Linked DNA regions of Coturnix japonica. The protein of the gene in region 1 purifies or fractionates together with the protein of each later gene. This does not show direct contact. Links are inferred from orthologs where the notes say so. Each region holds a gene or a part of one and is shown on either strand. Other genes may lie near its edges. The genes, in order: CHCHD4, GFER and Sjoegren syndrome nuclear autoantigen 1 homolog.

The links.
Region 2: the proteins of CHCHD4 (region 1) and GFER purify together in Homo sapiens (co-immunoprecipitation; 3 studies listed by BioGRID and IntAct, with this or other methods). This does not show direct contact. The link is inferred for Coturnix japonica from reciprocal best matches to the Homo sapiens genes CHCHD4 and GFER.
Region 3: the proteins of CHCHD4 (region 1) and Sjoegren syndrome nuclear autoantigen 1 homolog purify together in Homo sapiens (co-immunoprecipitation; 3 studies listed by BioGRID and IntAct, with this or other methods). This does not show direct contact. The link is inferred for Coturnix japonica from reciprocal best matches to the Homo sapiens genes CHCHD4 and SSNA1.

The regions. Positions count from the first base shown.
Region 1 is NC_029527.1:8,345,681-8,350,650, forward strand, and holds the start of CHCHD4 (mitochondrial intermembrane space import and assembly protein 40), read right to left. Parts: upstream 2,860-4,970; 5' UTR 2,738-2,859; coding exon 2,716-2,737; intron 356-2,715; coding exon 257-355; intron 1-256. Other genes in the region: TMEM43 (transmembrane protein 43), read left to right, coding at 2,970-2,981, 3,658-3,807, 4,440-4,574, 4,697-4,791, 4,925-4,970.
Region 2 is NC_029529.1:6,124,379-6,130,314, forward strand, and holds the start of GFER (FAD-linked sulfhydryl oxidase ALR), read left to right. Parts: upstream 1-1,963; 5' UTR 1,964-1,998; coding exon 1,999-2,202; intron 2,203-2,361; coding exon 2,362-2,567; intron 2,568-3,574; coding exon 3,575-3,737; 3' UTR 3,738-5,936.
Region 3 is NC_029517.1:13,929,522-13,935,535, forward strand, and holds the start of Sjoegren syndrome nuclear autoantigen 1 homolog, read left to right. Parts: upstream 1-2,334; 5' UTR 2,335-2,340; coding exon of another isoform or gene 2,341-2,381; 5' UTR 2,382-2,383; coding exon 2,384-2,400; exon of another isoform or gene 2,401-2,496; intron 2,497-2,945; coding exon of another isoform or gene 2,946-2,962; exon of another isoform or gene 2,963-3,105; intron 3,106-3,127; exon of another isoform or gene 3,128-3,272; intron 3,273-3,304; exon of another isoform or gene 3,305-3,394; intron 3,395-3,719; coding exon 3,720-4,119; 3' UTR 4,120-4,162; exon of another isoform or gene 4,163-4,333; intron 4,334-6,014. Other genes in the region: WAC (WW domain-containing adapter protein with coiled-coil), read right to left, coding at 541-736, 2,182-2,218, 2,341-2,381. UniProt on the Homo sapiens protein: Microtubule-binding protein which stabilizes dynamic microtubules by slowing growth and shrinkage at both plus and minus ends and serves as a sensor of microtubule damage, protecting microtubules from the microtubule-severing enzyme SPAST.

The DNA.
Region 1 (4,970 bases):
CATGAAGAGGTGACTTTGAAAGAAAAAGAAAACACATTTGGAAAGTACATCATTTGTGCTGTCCTGATTTGGAAGTTAAGACTGAGAGGAGTCTGACTGTATAATTTACTACATAGTTTTCTCAGTTTACTGAATAAAATGTTTATTTACTGAAACCGCTGCCCTACTAGCTCAGTCTTTAAAAATGAATTAATATAATTAGCATATGAAATACATGGTGTATCAATCTCCGCTTTCATTCTGTTCAGCTACTTACCGTGTTCCTCATAAGGGTCATCTGGATCGTCTGCGACCAGCTCAGCACTGCTTGGTGTCTCATGGTCCTCCTTTGTCACAAAGATAATTTTGTCCTTTCCTGTTGTGTAGGAGACAATAAGCAAAAGATCAGGAAAAGCTGAGAGTAAGTAATTGACAAAGTGGCTGACCAGAACACAGTAATGAGATACTCAACATGATGCCCTGATGTTAATATTGAATGAATTCTACTTTCCTTATTGAGCATCTTCAATTACAAGTTGCTGGTTCACAGGAAAATGTGTATAAAGAGAATTGGGAAAGTATTCAAAGGGAAGGTACTGAAAGTTATAAAAGAACTGGAAATAAGGCCTAGGAGAAAATCAACCTACGCTTGAAAAGATGAGTAGTAATTTATCTAGAACAGAGAATAGAACTGAACCCATTGTCTTTGTACCACACCCATGTAACCGTAGGAAGTTATTCTCAATATTCAATAAGAACTGAAAAAGTCATAACCCACTAGAGATTTACAATAAATATTTGCATATGGCACAGTTATGCAATGCAAATAGATGCCTACAGAGACTGCACTGAAGAGAGATGTGATAAGACAGGTATTTGTTTCTAAAGGAGACCATAATCAGCATACAGGACTCACGGAAGCAGTAAAGGACTGCACACTATTTCCAAGCTGAGGCAGCATTTAACAGATGTCACAGAGAACTTGCTTTTTAACACCACCTTCTCCGCTCCTTCCCCTCTTTAACCGAGTCAGGGATCAGCACAGCACAGTGACAGGAGCTGGGTGCAAGCAACCCAAAATGAAGTACCTTAAGCAACACTGCCACTGAATATGAAGCCACAAATCCCACGTGGGTAAAAGAAACTAATTATTAAAGTCACAGCACCTTGTAGAAGAAACTAATTATTATGTTATACAGGAAGGAAGTGAGGATGAGGTGAACATAAAACAGTTTGGGAAGTCCTCTTTTAAAGCACTCATTACATAAGTAATACTCATTACCCATTTACATGTTAGAATATATAGAAACTACCAAATCCTTTCGCTCTAGAGTTCTGCTTTTCACAGCAAAGTACTGTAACAGCTGTAAATCACTGTACAGTTCACTGGATTGCAAAGTTAAAGAGCTGTTTTGAAACCATCTGAAACTACTGCTCTCTTGGGAGAACAAATTCAGCTAAAGAGGCTGGATGGAAATGGACCAAAAGTGAAAGGAAAAACTCTCCTGTGCTACAGAAAGCATTCAGCAGGATATTAATTAAGATCAGCAGCCTCCATTACAGAGTCATGTCATAGTCTATAATTATTATGTGAATTAAATACTAAAGAGCACTTTAACGGTCTAGAGCAGCCTGTGTTGAAAGGTGCTGCAAACATTAACAAGGGCAGAAAAACAGAGCGTACTTCCTGCTCTTGTGTCACTCTTGATTTAACAAAGTAGTTATGAAGGGGGAAAAAAAAAACAGGCTTGGCTGGCAACCAGGGCAAAGTTTCCCAACAACTCTGTAAGGTTGTAGAAAACTGCTTTAAGGCAGATACAGGCAGAAGAGAACATCTAACTGAAGCTTTTCTGAATGTATAACACAGCATTCACAGACTGGAATGAGCACCCCAAAGACTTCAGCTCCAAATTCAGAAAGGCCACTGCAATGACAAAGCACGTTATGAATTAGCATCTTCTTGTCCTTCAGCATGACCTCTACCAGAAAACGTTCAGTAATTCCCTTTCTTTGCATTCAGTCTCACAGAATCACAGAATGACCCAGGTTGGAAGGGACCTCAAGGATCATGTAGTTCCAACCCCCCTGCCTGGCAGGGCCACCAAACATACACCTTTACTAGATGAGGTTGCCCAGGGTCCCATCCAACCTGGTCTTGAACACTAGGTGTGAAAAGCAGATAAACCTGGATTCTTTCAAAAAGGGAAACTATTGTCAGCCGTGTGGCATTCCAGCCAACTTTACAGTGCAGAACAGCTGGGATTTCATACATGAAATGAACTAGAAGTGGATGAAATATCATCACTGCTAGCATGAAGTATAACTATAACCCCATCACCACAACTATAACATGAACTATAACTGCAGCTATCATTCATTTTGTAGGATGCCATAAGGCAATGGACAGAGCTGGTAAAAATACAAGATATCAATAAAGTGAGTTAATAATAATAAGGCAAAGAGAACCAGAAGTTATCACAGTATATAATCACTATCCAGAGTGACGAGTTTATCCTTTCAAAGCAGCACTCAGGACATTCTTTGCAGCATGAAACTCCACACCAAGGGAGGAAAGATAAATCACAATCCACAAAGGGGGAAAGATAAATGCATCCCCCAGGTTAGAAATGAAACGTGTGGTGCCCCACACCCACACAACCCGCGGCCTCCCCTCCACCCTTCGAGCGGCGCCGCCCCCGCGCCTCAGGGTGACATTGTGAGGACGCAGGCACCCACCTTCTTGCCTGCAGTAGGACATGGCGGAGCCGCCCGCTGCCTTTCACACTCAGTGCGATCGCAGACCGGCTCCGCGTCCTTCCCCTCCTCCTCCAACACCGCCGCAGCTCCACGCTGTGCCCGCTGACCTCCGGAAGAACACACACTGAACTCTAACACCAGGAAGCATACGCCCTCACATCGAGGTGGGCGCGGCTGCTGCTGAGCGGTTGTCGTTGGTGGATTCTCTGGTTTGTGAGGGAAAGAGGCCGAAGATGTCGAGGAATGTAAGTGATAAGCTCCTGTGGGGGATCCCAATAGCTGTCAGATCCCGCTTGGCTCCTCCAGAGGGGCCTCGCCTCCTCCCCTCTCTACCCGCTATTGCTGCTTGGGTATTACCCACAGCACAGAGCTGTGGTGCTCCTCACACCCTGTGTTGTTGGTGTTCTAATGTGGCAATGCTCAGCATAGCAGCAGAAGTTTGTTCTGAGAGCTCTTCTAGTCCCCCAAGGTGCAGTTATGGCAGGGTGTGCTGTGGGATTGCATTGTGGTATTTATAGCTGTGCTGTAGCTAGTCTGGAATTTGGGAGTATTACTCAGTTTGTCGCTGGGTGTGGATACCAAATAGGGAACGTAGAGACAGGCTGAAGGATGTGTGAAGGGATGTGCTTTGCCAATGCTATAGGCATTGTTTTTCTTAGTTAAGGTCTATTTACTGGCTGTATTTCTGGTATCAAAATTGGGACAAGGCATTTAGGGGGTTGGAACTACATGATCCTTGAGGTCCCTTCCAACCCGGGTCATTCTGTGATTCTGTGATTTAATAAGTGTGGGAAGGTTCAGCTCCAATGCAAGCAGTGCCGTTTAGCAGTGGTTAAGCAATTTAGCAAAGGTAAAGAGCTCCTTTTGAAACAGACCATCTGCTTTTATACCAATATTACATTTCTGGTTTACCTCCAACAGTTTTCTGACACAGGAAGCAAAAAAGAACATGTCAAAATCACCAGCGAGGCCAAGCCAGGGTTCCTGGAGAGGCTCAGCGAGACTTCTGGAGGCATGCTTATAGGACTTGGGACATTTCTTCTGTCCTTCTACCTTCTTTTTACCAATGAAGTAAGTGAAGTACTATCAAGAGTTTATATACAGCTTTAAAATGGTTGGCCAAGGTGGCATTCAACTAGTTTTGTATGTATAGGGTCAAGGAAATGGTCATGCTGTAGTTTTATTGCTTCATCAGTGTAAAGAAGGCAGCGTGTCGGGTGAGGCTGATGCTTATTCTTGGGATGTAAGAATGAAATCACAGAGTCATAGATGTTCTTGCTGTGGAACGGTGTGTAATAGAAACAGTGTCTGTGTATGGTGAGGAAAAAGATCCCAAACCTATGAGCTCCCGGTGAAAGAGGCTGTAGTGCTATAGAAAGAAGCCGAACGAGCCAGCCACGTTCAGTTCTTCTGTCTCTATCTTGAGATAACATAGGGAATTCATTTCTAGTGCTGTTAGGATTTTGTTATAGGAACTCATTCAGTGTTGCAAAAGTGAGGGTGTTAATTACTCTCGTTACTTTGTTTTGGTTTTAGACTTGGAGGAGAATGGTGAATTACAAGTGTGTTTTCAGATTATGCCTTGAGGATGAATGTCTTGAGAAGTCCTTGGGCTCTGCAGATCACTTGTCTTCTACTATTTTCATAAGATAATGATATGCCATTGATTCTCCACAGCTTGATTTTGCTTTTCGTGACTACAGGGACGAGCTTTGAGGACAGCTAAATCTCTTGATGAGGGACTTTCTCTTGTGATCCCTCTTGACAACATTCACAGGGTATCTCAACAAAATGAGGGGAGTCTGGTGCACTTAGCAGGCGTTCTGAGCACAGCAAAGGTAAGTAAAGCTAACATCTTGGATATGGGAGAATTTCAAGTTTGGAGGGATTGGAGTGTTGAAATGCTCACAGATGCCTCACTAATTCCTACTGACTTGTGTTTTCTTTGTATTTCAAATAGCCTTTGTTTGATCCCAGCTATGGGCTGTCCGTCCAGGCTGTCAAGCTTAAGCGCAAAGTGGAAATGTACCAGTGGGTTGAATATGAAGATTCCAGGTGAGTGAAACAGGTCTTTAAAAGTTGTTTATAGGAGTGTTTTATTAACAGGGTCAGTTGAAACGTGCATTCTGTATTGAGCTGGTTTGTGTGTGTGCTATTTTGCTTCTTGCTTCACTCTTTTTCTTTGCAGGGAGTATGAAGAAAATGGTGAGATCAAGAAAGAGACAAAGTACTCG
Region 2 (5,936 bases), on another chromosome or scaffold:
CATCTGCTCTGAAGCAGGGTAAGACCAGAGGGACCCAGAGATGCCTCCAGCCTCATCCAGTCTGGGATTCTGTGAAAATTCTCTAAAGCACTTAAAACACATTCATGAAAAGTCAGTGATGTTTAAGTTCCCAAGTGAAGCAAAAGCCTCTGCAAGTATCACTCCCTATTCTCAGCTCAAAATCTGGTAACAGACAAGTACATGCCAGCAGGCGGCCTGAACTATTACCTTTTGATATCGTTTGCATCCTAGAAAGTGGGCCATTAGGGTAGCAGCAAAAGCTGTGTCCTCTGTCTGTTAGTTGCATCAGTTACCTGTGAAAATTAGCAGGTTTTCTGCCAACATAACCATACCCAAATGCACACAGCTGGGGGCCCAACTGCACTGAGAAGAGCTGCTTGGCCTTCCTCAGAGTCTCCCTTCCTTAGTTCTCCCCTCCTACTTTGCTGCTGCTCTCAGCCCAGAGGGTGAGCAACAGAATGCGTGCTTGGCCTCACACACAGCTCAGCTCCTGCTTCTGCTTCCTTCCCTGTGTGCTCGCTATCATCTGCCAGCTACTGAGCCAGTTTAGTGAATGCCAAGATAAGAGCAGAACATCAAACAGCAGTCTTCCACTCAGAAACACAAACACACCCTTTACTTTTTTTCTCCAGCACAGAGTTTACCAACACTTCCTGGTAATTAGCGTCATTACATCCCCTATTCCAGTCACTGAGAGACTGTACAGAAGATGTACCTGTCCAGTAGGCTTTGGTGAGCCCTGTCTTCCAGATACAATTACATCATGCAAGATATGGGTGTGTTGTTAGCAGAGCCTGCTGCAGGTTATCGCATGCCTGGACTGGGGCTGAGGAAGCCTCACCTGGGCAGTACCAGGGTGCTTCATATCCACTGCAGGAGGTGGTCAGACTGCGCTTAGAGACAGGAAAGTGTATTCCTCACTGTGATTTGTATAGGAGCATTGCAACATTTCTGCTCTTCTTGCTCTCTCTGACCAGAAAAGGGGCAGACGGAGCAACACTGAGCACAGATAGCATCTTAGGTGACAGCTTTCTTTACCTTTATGAACTATTTGCCTTCAAATAAAAATCCATCTTGCTGATATTTTACCTGACTAAATAAATGGAAACACTAACAAGAAAGCAAACAGGCCGTTAACAGCCAATCAAGGACACAGCTTTGACTTATAAATGTCTCTGCAAAAACGTAATTGCCAGGAGGCAGAGCAGTAAAGCACTGCAGGAAATTCCCCCGTGTCTCTCCTAGATACCAGCATACTCCTTATTTTAGAATTTAAAGCATCATTTAAATATTTACTGGCGAAAAGGAAAACAAATATAAAGAATATCTTTTCCTTTACTAGGTTGACCCTTTCATGCACGATATATCTTTGTATCTATAGTTGTCTATGACTTCAGACAAAGCCAGTAGCTGCAGTTGCTCGTGTTTCTTCTCCTTCCCACGTGAATAACTGCAACAAAATGCCATTCCCACGCAGAGCACACTAAGTTTTGAAGTCTTATTTCTAAGGGCAGCTCTTTGAAGCGTTTTCTTTGCTGTGTTATCTACCAAAATTGTTTTAGCACGTTAAGTACATCACAATGTAAGAGCTGGAAATGAGCAGTATTTTCCCAGCCCCTTTCACACAAGTGGTGTCTCTGCAGAACCTGCAGCACTTAAATTAATGACTTAGACAAGACTCGGGGTGCATTTCAAGTAACTACAGAACATCCAGGAAGGATCGGTGTGTGGAGATGTGCGGCCATGTCTGCTTATGGAGGGCTCCTTCACCACAGCTGTTGGACAGGGGAGGACGGTGCTGACCTAATGGGAGCAGGGCTGAACCAAAGAGAAGGAAAAAAGCAACTTTGTGATTTACATCCACAAAACCCCCCGTCAGAATCTCGAGGGACAATTCCATGATTTTTAGACCCAAACCGCCCCCTCGCTGCCAAACGACACGGCCGCCCCCGGCCCACGGTGCACTGCGGCGCCAAGATGGCGGCGCCCAGTGAGGGCAGGCCCGGCCGCGGCGCCTCATCGTTCCCTGGCACTGAAGGCGGATCTTTCGCTTTTCCTTTCACCGTTCCGCCCGGAGTTGCCGGCTCCGGAGCTGAGGAACAACCCAAGAAGCCGTGTAGGGCCTGTACGGATTTCAAGAGCTGGCTCCGAGAGCAGAGGAAGCAGCAGGCGGGCGGCGTGGTAAGGCAGGCGGGCTGTGGGGCTGCACCCTCCCGCTTCCCATCCCTGGAGGTTCCAGGGGGGCTCCTATTTTATTCCCTTCATGCGTGTGGCACTGGGCGCTGTTGCTATCCCTGCACCCTGCTGCCTTCTCCTATAGCTCTCTCCCTCCCTCCTCAGGCCGCAGTGGAAGAGAAGGAGCCACCCCCTGATTGCCCCCTGGACAGCGAGCAGCTGGGCCGCAGCACCTGGGCCTTCCTTCACACCATGGCTGCATACTACCCCGAACGGCCCTCAAGAACTCAGCAACAGGAGATGAAGGATTTCATCCGCCTCTTCTCCAAGTTCTACCCGTGTGAGCAGTGTGCTGAGGATCTGAGGGAAAGGTGAGTTGCCTCATCGGTTTCTTCTGTGTTTTTTTTATTTTTTGTTATTGCTGAAGGGGCCTGAAATGCTGCCCTGCTGTGGGTGTTTGCATATCTTTGCTCTTCCTGCTGTTGGGGTTTATAGGCACTTGAACTGGTTTCTTCCGTTGCATAGATCAAAGACTTATTCCGAAGACAAATACCTTGTCTAGTGCTGTTGGGTTCAGTGCTGCCTCCAAGGCCTCCCTGAGGCATTTTATGGCCTTGTGGTTTAGACTGGACTTGCACACAATCGTGGGATAAACTGGGACTTGGAATTATTCAGTTTTTGGTAGGCAAGACCAGGTTGGACAGGGCTCTGGGCAACCTGATCTAGTAAATGTGTATGTTTGGTGGCCCTGCTAGGCAGGGGGGTTGGAACTACATGATCCTTGAGGTCCCTTCCAACCCGGGTCATTCTGTGATTCTGTGTGTGCTTATATCTCAGAAGAGCCACAACCTCCCACCATTGGAGGCAGACACTTGAAATGAGCTGTGGTATCGGGTAATTTTCTACCTCTGTCGCTGTCAACATGTTTCTCAAAAATTTGAACTTTTTTTTTTTTTTTTGCTTTTATTTTGGATAATGAACGTGCAAAAAAGGCTTGAAACCGAATTATTAAGTATCACTTGGCAAAAGAACTGCTTAATGGTTTTCATTTATTGCTTTGGTAAAACCCTTTTAAAAAGTCAATGTATTGATGATCACAAGTACTTTTTGCTGTTTATCACAGCTAAGCCTTTTGATTCCTCTGCCTTTTACAATTGACAAGACTAGGAACTGACTGAAACCAGGTCAGTTGTGATCACTGGCATTTTAGTGTGGATGTTTGGCCTCTGATGATTACAGTGTGCTCTGTCTTGGGGTCCATTTGGAGTTCTCATGGTAACAGAAGTGGAGACTGGCTGTCTGCGTGCTATGTACCTGCTTTGGGTATTGAAATTGGTGACTAAAGCAGTAACGTTTGTTTCCTCTTCCCTGTTTGCAGATTGCGAACAAATCAGCCTGATACTAGCAACAGAAATAACTTCTCCCAGTGGTTATGTCTTCTTCACAATGAAGTGAACAGGAAACTGGGCAAATCTGAATTTGACTGCTCTCGTGTGGATGAGCGCTGGCGAGATGGTTGGAAAGATGGTAGTTGTGATTAATCCATAGGGGACTGCTTTGGAAATCCAACAGATTCACTCTGCTGTTTTGACACTGTGTAGAGATGTGCAAGTAAATATGTGTGAGCGTGTGTGTGCATGACTGAGATGACTTGTGGAAATAAAGGTGGAACCAACTCTGAAAGCCAGTTTGAAAATCTTATGCTCGTAGCACCTGGATAAATGGTCGTATCAAATGCATTGTCTGAGGAACTGAGGCCTTACATGTGGCACAGGAATTGCCAGAAATAAGTGAAACTGAGTTACTCAACAAACCCGTGGATACTGTTTCATGACATTTCCTTATTTTAGGGGCATTTGCTTGTATCTTTGACTTGAATTCCTGTTCCTTGCACGCAGTTGTAGAGAGCTGCCCTGTGACATTTCATGTTTATTTGCAGTTACTATCCTGATGTGTTTGGAATTTCATTGTCATTTTCACTTCTTTTGTTCTGATAGGGCAAATTCCTGCTGTCTATATCCCTTAAGCTTTCTTAGAGATCTCTGATGCTTGTTGTTAGACTTGCTAAAAAGCAGGTACATTTAATTTAAATGCTAAAATCACAGAACCTTGATTTCTCATTTTATTTCTGTTTCAGTTTATCACATAAGAGTGTATCATAGAAAAGAGACTAGAACAGGACCAAAAGAACTATCAAGAAGTATCAGCTGGGTTAAATTCAGATGTTTTAAATTGATTCCTCTTTTTCTTTCAATCCAGAAGCAGTCTGACAAGTTCTACTGAGCTATTTGCTTTTAAAACTGACAACTTTTCATCTCTATGATTTCAATTGCAAAGACTGCTGTAACGATCTGAGACTGGTATCTGTAATGAAACATATTCAGATTTGTTTAGCATATAGTGTTTCTAAGGCATCATTTGTGTTTTGCAATTCGTGATTGTTACTTATTGATTTAGTTGATATTTTGGTGTTTTCGCCTAGATAAAAATCTCTCTGGAACAAAAGGACTTTAAATACCCTTATGATATTTGAGTCTTCTTTAAGACTGATGTCAGCTTTAGATAGAATTATTGTACAGAAGACTCCAAGGATTCCCTCTGTAGAAACTGGTTTGTTCTATTGGCATTTTCCTTACATCAGCTATATTGCATCAGTGTTACTGACGCATAAGTGTGAATTTGAGTTTCAAGTGAAATAGCAGCATAAATGATACAATGAATATAAATGCATTTCTCTACAAAGCCACACAAATAAGTCTTAATACTTTCAAACTCTTAAAATATACAGAGATATTTTGCCCTTATTGCATTTTTGTCTGGGAAAGTTTGCAGGAGTTTTCACAGATCATGATAATAGGGGCCTTTTCCTTCTGTACTTCCTGCAGAGCTTTTCCTTGCGTGATTTAGTAAGCTTCCTTGTTTCATGCGTTACAGTTGGTATGTAAATTTACTTTTGATGATAGAATGAGAGGTTCATGGTAATGGTACTTTTATAACAGTATCAGGGTGACGATAGCCTATATGTGAGAACTTTGATCTCCAAACGTTCACGTGTGGGACTCCTTACTGTTTAGAAAAGCAATTAGAACTTTGGAAATATATTTCAATGTTTTATGGTGTCCTAAAGCCTTTTCAAGTTGGACCTGTTAAAACAGTAAGACACAAATTTTTATGGACTGGTTATTCTGGGAAGTTTTGTTTGTCAGTGTTCCTAAACACAAAACCAACAGAAGTGCTGAGTGTTTTATGAAGTATATGCAATTTGACTTCCTACCTCATGGTGTTGTGTGGGCTATTAAAAGTGCTCAGAAAGTTTCTCTCTTGCATGCAGGAGGGCTGCTGCTCTGTCCATGTCTTAACAGTGTGGAGAGTTAAAAAAAAAAAAACAATTAAATTGTGCATCCCTCTCAAAATCAGTGAGAGTGGCCATGGCAACACAGAACCTTGGTCTCCTTGTGTTGTCCAAGGAGATGGTGGAGTTGTGTGCAAGGAAAAGCTCCTGCCAGCAGGTACTGTTTTGTTCTGACAGTGGTGCAGAGGAGGAAGAGCCTTCAAGCTGAAACCATCATTTTCAGTGAATGAGTCCATACGGTGAGGGCACAAGCTCTGGCTGCCAGGATGTTATTAGGGCAGTTTGTAACTTTGCTAAATAGCCATTTGGTAAAAATTTATGCTTGCACTCTGTTCTCTCATATTTGTGGCTTTGCAGAGAGTTCTGACTTATTGCTTCTCAGACATCT
Region 3 (6,014 bases), on another chromosome or scaffold:
TTTTTAGGAGGTAGAAATAGAAAATAACACCAGCTTAAAACTTCTGAGCACACTATTATCATCTGAATTACACTGTAAAAAGATAGGAGGCTACCTGACTAAGCTTCTGCCAGGAGATATTGTACTAAGTGCTATCTTTGATTTTAACATTGTTAGTTTACAGCAACCAGATCTAAAGCTATTTTTTATCATTCTCAGAGTGTAGCCCAGGAAGCACATACCTACATTACAGAAATACTAAATTATTTTTACTAAAATAGCAACTTAAACCTTTAAGATTGTCAATCTCTAGAACTCTAGAATATGGTTTTATCTTATTGAACGTTGCAGTATGCAGAACTCTCATACCTGTAAAAATAAGACAGCTAACAGGTGTTACAATGCCTGCTTCCAAGCAAACATGGCTTTTGGTTTCACAGCAGTCTTCCGAGCATCAAAGAACATCGCTCAACGCAATGCTCCCTTCACCTGAGTGACAACTGTTTAATTTTATGAGGAAACAGTAATCGCTTAAAGAAAGGTTAATTAAAGACAACTCACCACCATCCCTCTCTCTAACTCTGTGAGTATGCACACTTTTTGCTTTACTGTGCCCTGTGTTGTCACTGTATTTGTTTTCAGGGCTATCAGAGCGCCGCAACATTTTATTTGGTGGTGAAGGATCTGTGGTGTCTCGCATCTTGTCATGACGATGATCACCACCACTTGGGTGACTCTTGGATGAGTACTTAAGAGCCTGAAAAAGATCACAAGAAAACAGGCATTTTCATCAGATATAGATACAGAAAGAACATTTTAACATCAGTCATAAATTTCAGATCTTTCTTCTAAAACACTTTTTGAAGTAATTAATTTTTATTTCCCATTTAAATAACCACTATTCATCCTCTTAGTTTTAATTACCTACATTAGAGCAACAAGTTCTGTAATTAGGACTGAAACCATTTGCTCTCACCACGACATCCAACATAACATTTGCTGTTAAGATAAGCCTAATTTCTTCCTATTTTCTCAGTGAAGGACTGCATACTTTAAACGGTAAGTGGGGCACAAAACCTCTGACACTCAAAACAAGCACAAGTGCAGCTGGTACTAAAGAAATAAAGAGACAGTTATATTGAAACAGAGTGAACTGTAAATATCCATACTGTAATGGAGGCCACTTCCTTTTGCATCAACGTTAAGCTTCTGCAGATAGACTTCAGTACTAGCAAGCCCATAACAGATACAATAAAAATCTAGAATTTGGGGGGGTATTTAAGAGGGCAGAACATAATGTGACAATTCATTTTGGAACATTTACCAAAACTAACAAGTTATGTCTCTTTTTGATCTGCTTGATTTTGCAGAGCGAGCTCATGAGTGGCAAGTGTTTTATATTACATGAACTGTCACTGACAGCTGCCTCGGACCATCAGATGACACTTCACAGTGATAGAAACACTCAGAAATGTAATAAAATGGTTTAGTTAAATGCCCTAAGAAGAGCAGTATCCCTACACACAGCGTTCCCCAGACTCACACCCTCCTTAAGGTATAATTTTATTTTTCTTATTTTTATTCTTTCGTATTTCTCATAGGCATTAGACTACGGGACTCATCATACTTAAATTGAAGTTACTGTCAAAAGCCAGAGGATCTGATGTTTTTGAACACCCCCAGCAGCTGGCAACTGTAGAGACTGGCAACTGTGGAGACGAAGCCCTACTGACAACCCCAGTTCAGGGTCTAAAATCATGCCCTGCTCAGGTTACAGCCCGCAGCAGCAGTTTTGGGGAGAAGGGCCTCGGGGAGGGGGGCGGGGGGCGAACAAGCCGCCTTTTGTTTTTAGGAGGACAACGTTCCCCTTCCCCCGGCTCTCGGCTCCTCCGCCCGTGACCCGGCCGCGCTCTCCCGCCCCTGTGCTCGCACCTCCCGTCTGCTAGGCCCCGGCCCCGCGCTAGGCCTCTCCTACCGGCCCGGCCATCGCAGCGGCGCGGCGGCTCCGTTCCCCCGGCTGCGGGCCGGAGCCTGTTCCCTTCCCCACCTCTCGGGCCTTACAAGGCACCGCGGGCCGGGCGGGAGCCGCGCGGGGCAGCGCGGCCTGCGGCGGCGGCCGAAGCCTGGGCTGGAGTAGCTCCCCCCCCACCTTCCCTGCCCTGCTCCTCCTCCTCCCGGGCCCGGCGGCCGGCGCGGCGGTACCTGGTAGGGCTGCGAGTCCCCCCTGCGGTCGTGACAGCTGCGGAGAAGGCGAGAGAAAGAGAGAGAGAGGCGTTAGTGAGGGCCGTTACCGGGCGCCGGGAAGGGGCCCAAACATGGCGGAGGCGGGGGGAGAGCCGCGGGGCCGAGGAGGGGATTTACCCATCACTGAGTCTCTGCTGTTTCCTCGCATACATTACCATCAATGCCCGGCCTGTGTGTGTGAGTGTGAGGGGACCAGGAAGGGACGGCCGCGGCCGGGCCTACGGGCGCCGAGGGGGGAGGAGGGGAGCGGCGCTCCGCCTCGCCGCCGACCGGGGGCAGGGAGGGGGCAGGGAGGGAGGGGGCGGCTCGGCAGCTGTGCTGGGAGCGGCGCTCACGGGCCCATCTCCGCCGCGCGCAGCCTGAGGGGAGACGCCGGCAGCTCGGCCCCGCTGAGGCGCTCCGGGAGCGCGGACTCCGTCGCTGCCGCCGCTGCCGCCTCCTCCCCCCGCTGCGCCCGCCGCCGCCGTCGCCGCTCCTCCAACTACATCCGGGAAACTCGGGCGACGCCGCGCTCGGTTAACGTCGGCTCTTTTCGGCTCTTTCCGACGCGCTCCGTCCCCTCTGTCCCCTTTGCTCTCGGGCGACTCTGCCTTCGGCAAACATCGGCAGTCTCCGCCGAGCCCAACGCCCTTCAGTCTCTCCCTTCGGCAAACATCGGCTCGTTCCGTAGCTCTCCCCCCCCCTCCGGCCGGCCCGCCTCGTCCTCCACTCCCGAACGCTACCTGTCTTCGGAAAACATCGGTTATTTCCGTAGAGAGGCTTTCACGCTCTCGTCGGGGTGACGCCGCCTTCGGAACCGTTCGGCTATTTCCGTGACCTGCGCGGCCGTTGGCGGGGCGCGGCCGATTGGCCGAGGGGAGCGAGCGGGGGCGGCAGCGGCAGGCAGGTGGGGGCGATGGGGGGGGACCGCGAAAGGAGCCGAGGTGGTGCGGGGGGGATAGGAAAGGGAAGGTCTCCCCTCACTCACCTCCCCCCTCCCCTTCCGCCCGGCGCCTTGATGTATAGGCAGGAGCCATTTTGTGTACGTTGGGTTCGGCGAGAGGCGCTCGGTAGGGAGTGGTTGTTAAAATGTCCCTGGGGAAGCGGCTGGCCGGGCCGCGTCCCTCCTTCCCTCTCAGCTCCCCCTGAGGCGATGGCGGAGCTCGGGCCGCCTCACGCGTGGAGGGAGCGGGTGAGCGGGACGGGCAGCGCTGCCCTGAGGAGCTGGGAGTGATCCAGCCCTGCTGGGTTGGATGGGCCCACGGGCAGCATGAGCTGCTGGGTGGGTGCTCTGCCCACGGCATGGTGTTGGGACTGATAGCCTTGAAGGGCCCCAAACCATGCAATGATACAGAGCCTGAATCTTGTCCTGCCTCCTTAATGAAAAGGGAAGTGACAAGCCCCCCTCAGAACTGGCCTGTAGCAGTACATCTTTCCCCACAATGCTGTGTTTAAACATAGCATCACACTATAACTATAGTTTTTCTCTCTGTTCTTGTTTTTGTGTTAACGTGCAGAAGGCTGCAGCTGAGAGGACACCTCAGGAAGCTCACGGACAGACAGGAGCAGAGGATGACCCAGCAGGGAGCTGTTCTTCAGGGTTACAACAATGAGCTCGTTAAGTGTATTGAAGACTTGTGTATGCAAAAAGAGGAGCTGAACAAACAGATCCAGCAAGCAGAAGAGGAGAAAAGCAGACTCCAGCATGAAATTCAAACCCTCAATGAACAGTTGGAGGGGGTGTGTGAAAACCTGGCTCAGAAGGTAGCTTCGCGGAACGAGCTCGATAAAATTCTTGCTGAAACTGAAGCTGCTTACATGAAGATTTTGGATAGTTCCAGAACTTTGCTTAGTGTCCTGAAGAAGGAAGTGGGAAGCTTAAAGCGTCCGCCAGAACTGAAAAGTAATGTAACCTGAAGCTGTTAAATGTCTGCACTTCCCAGTTCTAAAATTCCACTAGGTGAGAAGCGGTCAGACACAGCACCCTGTGACAGCACTATGAGCTGAGGGGCCTTTCTTCCAACCTTTCCACTTTCCCATAATTTTTAAATGCGTTAGAAACACTGTAGATAAAACAGATGAAATAAAGTTGCCGTTTTCTTATTAAAGAAAGTTCATAATTGCTCTTAAATCACAGCAAAACTAAACTGCAGATATGTAGCTGTCAGTTTGGACATAGTTATGCTTCAAGGCTCTTCTGAAAGACAGGAAAAATGTTTTATTGGCTGGATTTTGGCTGGTTACTGTGGAATGGCTGTTTGATAGAATGTTACTTGAAATCTGGACAGAATGCTCGCATTTTTTCCATTGCTCTTTTACCCAAAGCTGTGTTCATGGCTTCTCTGAAATCCTGCTGTCTTTCTCCCATATCCTTTTTTTCCCCTTACCTACATGTGTAGACAGAAAAGCACTGTAGAACTAATGGATGCAAGTAGCTTATACTTGTTGCTTGACTTTTAGGGACCAAGTAGGAATTAGTTTTTTAGCCTTCTTAAGGAGTCTGGACTTCTCTCCGTGATCCACGTGCAGCCCCTGTTGACAATCATCTTTCACTTAGCTGGAATTTTGGAGGAATAATTTGAGAAAATGTGATTTAAGCAGGGTATGAAAGATTAACCTCACAGACTGTGTCAGGTTTGTGTATCTTCTGAAGCTGTACTCTAAAGCCTTGAGTAGAAAGGAGTTATGCTATGGTGAGAGATGGATTTGAGTGCAAGTGGGAGGCATGACCTTGCAGGGCACAGTGCTGCAGGGAGCTGTACAATATAAATGAGGGCCATCTAATATTGCAATAAGGCTGGAAAGAATAGTGAACAACCTAGAATGGAGGGAAATAAATGCATGTGAGAGGTCAGAATTGAATTAGTAGTAAACATGCAGCTGCTCGACATTCTTGTAGGTGAGATTTAAATAGAACCCAAGTAGGAGAATGGAGAGGATGTAAGAATATAGCAGAAATCTCAGTCTCGTTTCCTATTTCTGGTAGTTAGTAAATATGTGTGTGCATGCATTTTTTCCTGCTCATTCATGTATTATGGCAGCAGCTTTATGTTTAAGTCAAGCCTTCATAACAATTCGCTAAATTGGAGGAAATGCGATTGCAATCTCTTCTCTTAATAACTGTGTCTCTCAGGTGCAAGTATAAAGAGCATGCAGATATGAATAGCTTCAGTAATAGCTCTTCACCAATAATTATAAACATTTTATGTCCTGATTGCCACGCTACATCTTCTGCAGTGGGGATTAGCGAGACCGAGCTAATCGACAATTTACTTGTATAGCTTTGCCACCAGCTTCCCCTGAGTAATGCTGAGGTAATAAAATTAGATAATCTCAGGAGTGTTGCTATTGTTGAGGTGCCACAGTATTTGTGGCAGCTCTGTTTATGCTGAAGTGAAACACAAAAGCCAAAATGTTGTTTTTCTTTTAGTAGCAAAAAGGTGATTTGGCTGGGATACCTATTGGATCCCACCTCTGTCCCCTTAGTCTGGTTACAGTAGTCATTAGTTTATATCAAAATAGGATGTCTCAGAAAAGGTACTGATTAAACAGCAAGGACTTAAAAAACAGCATGTAAACTGATTCATCTTACTGTATAAAGGGGAGTTTGAAATTGCCTACGTGAACAAACTTACATGGGAAGTTTGTTTACAGATTGGCAGAGCAGTGCAGTTAATTCCTGTTTTCTAATGACTACTGGCTTGCTTGTCTTCAAATAAGCCATAAATAATCATAAAATCATAGAATGGCCTGGGTTGAAAAGAACCACAATGATCATTGGGTTTCAACCCCCTTGCCATATGAGGGCTGGC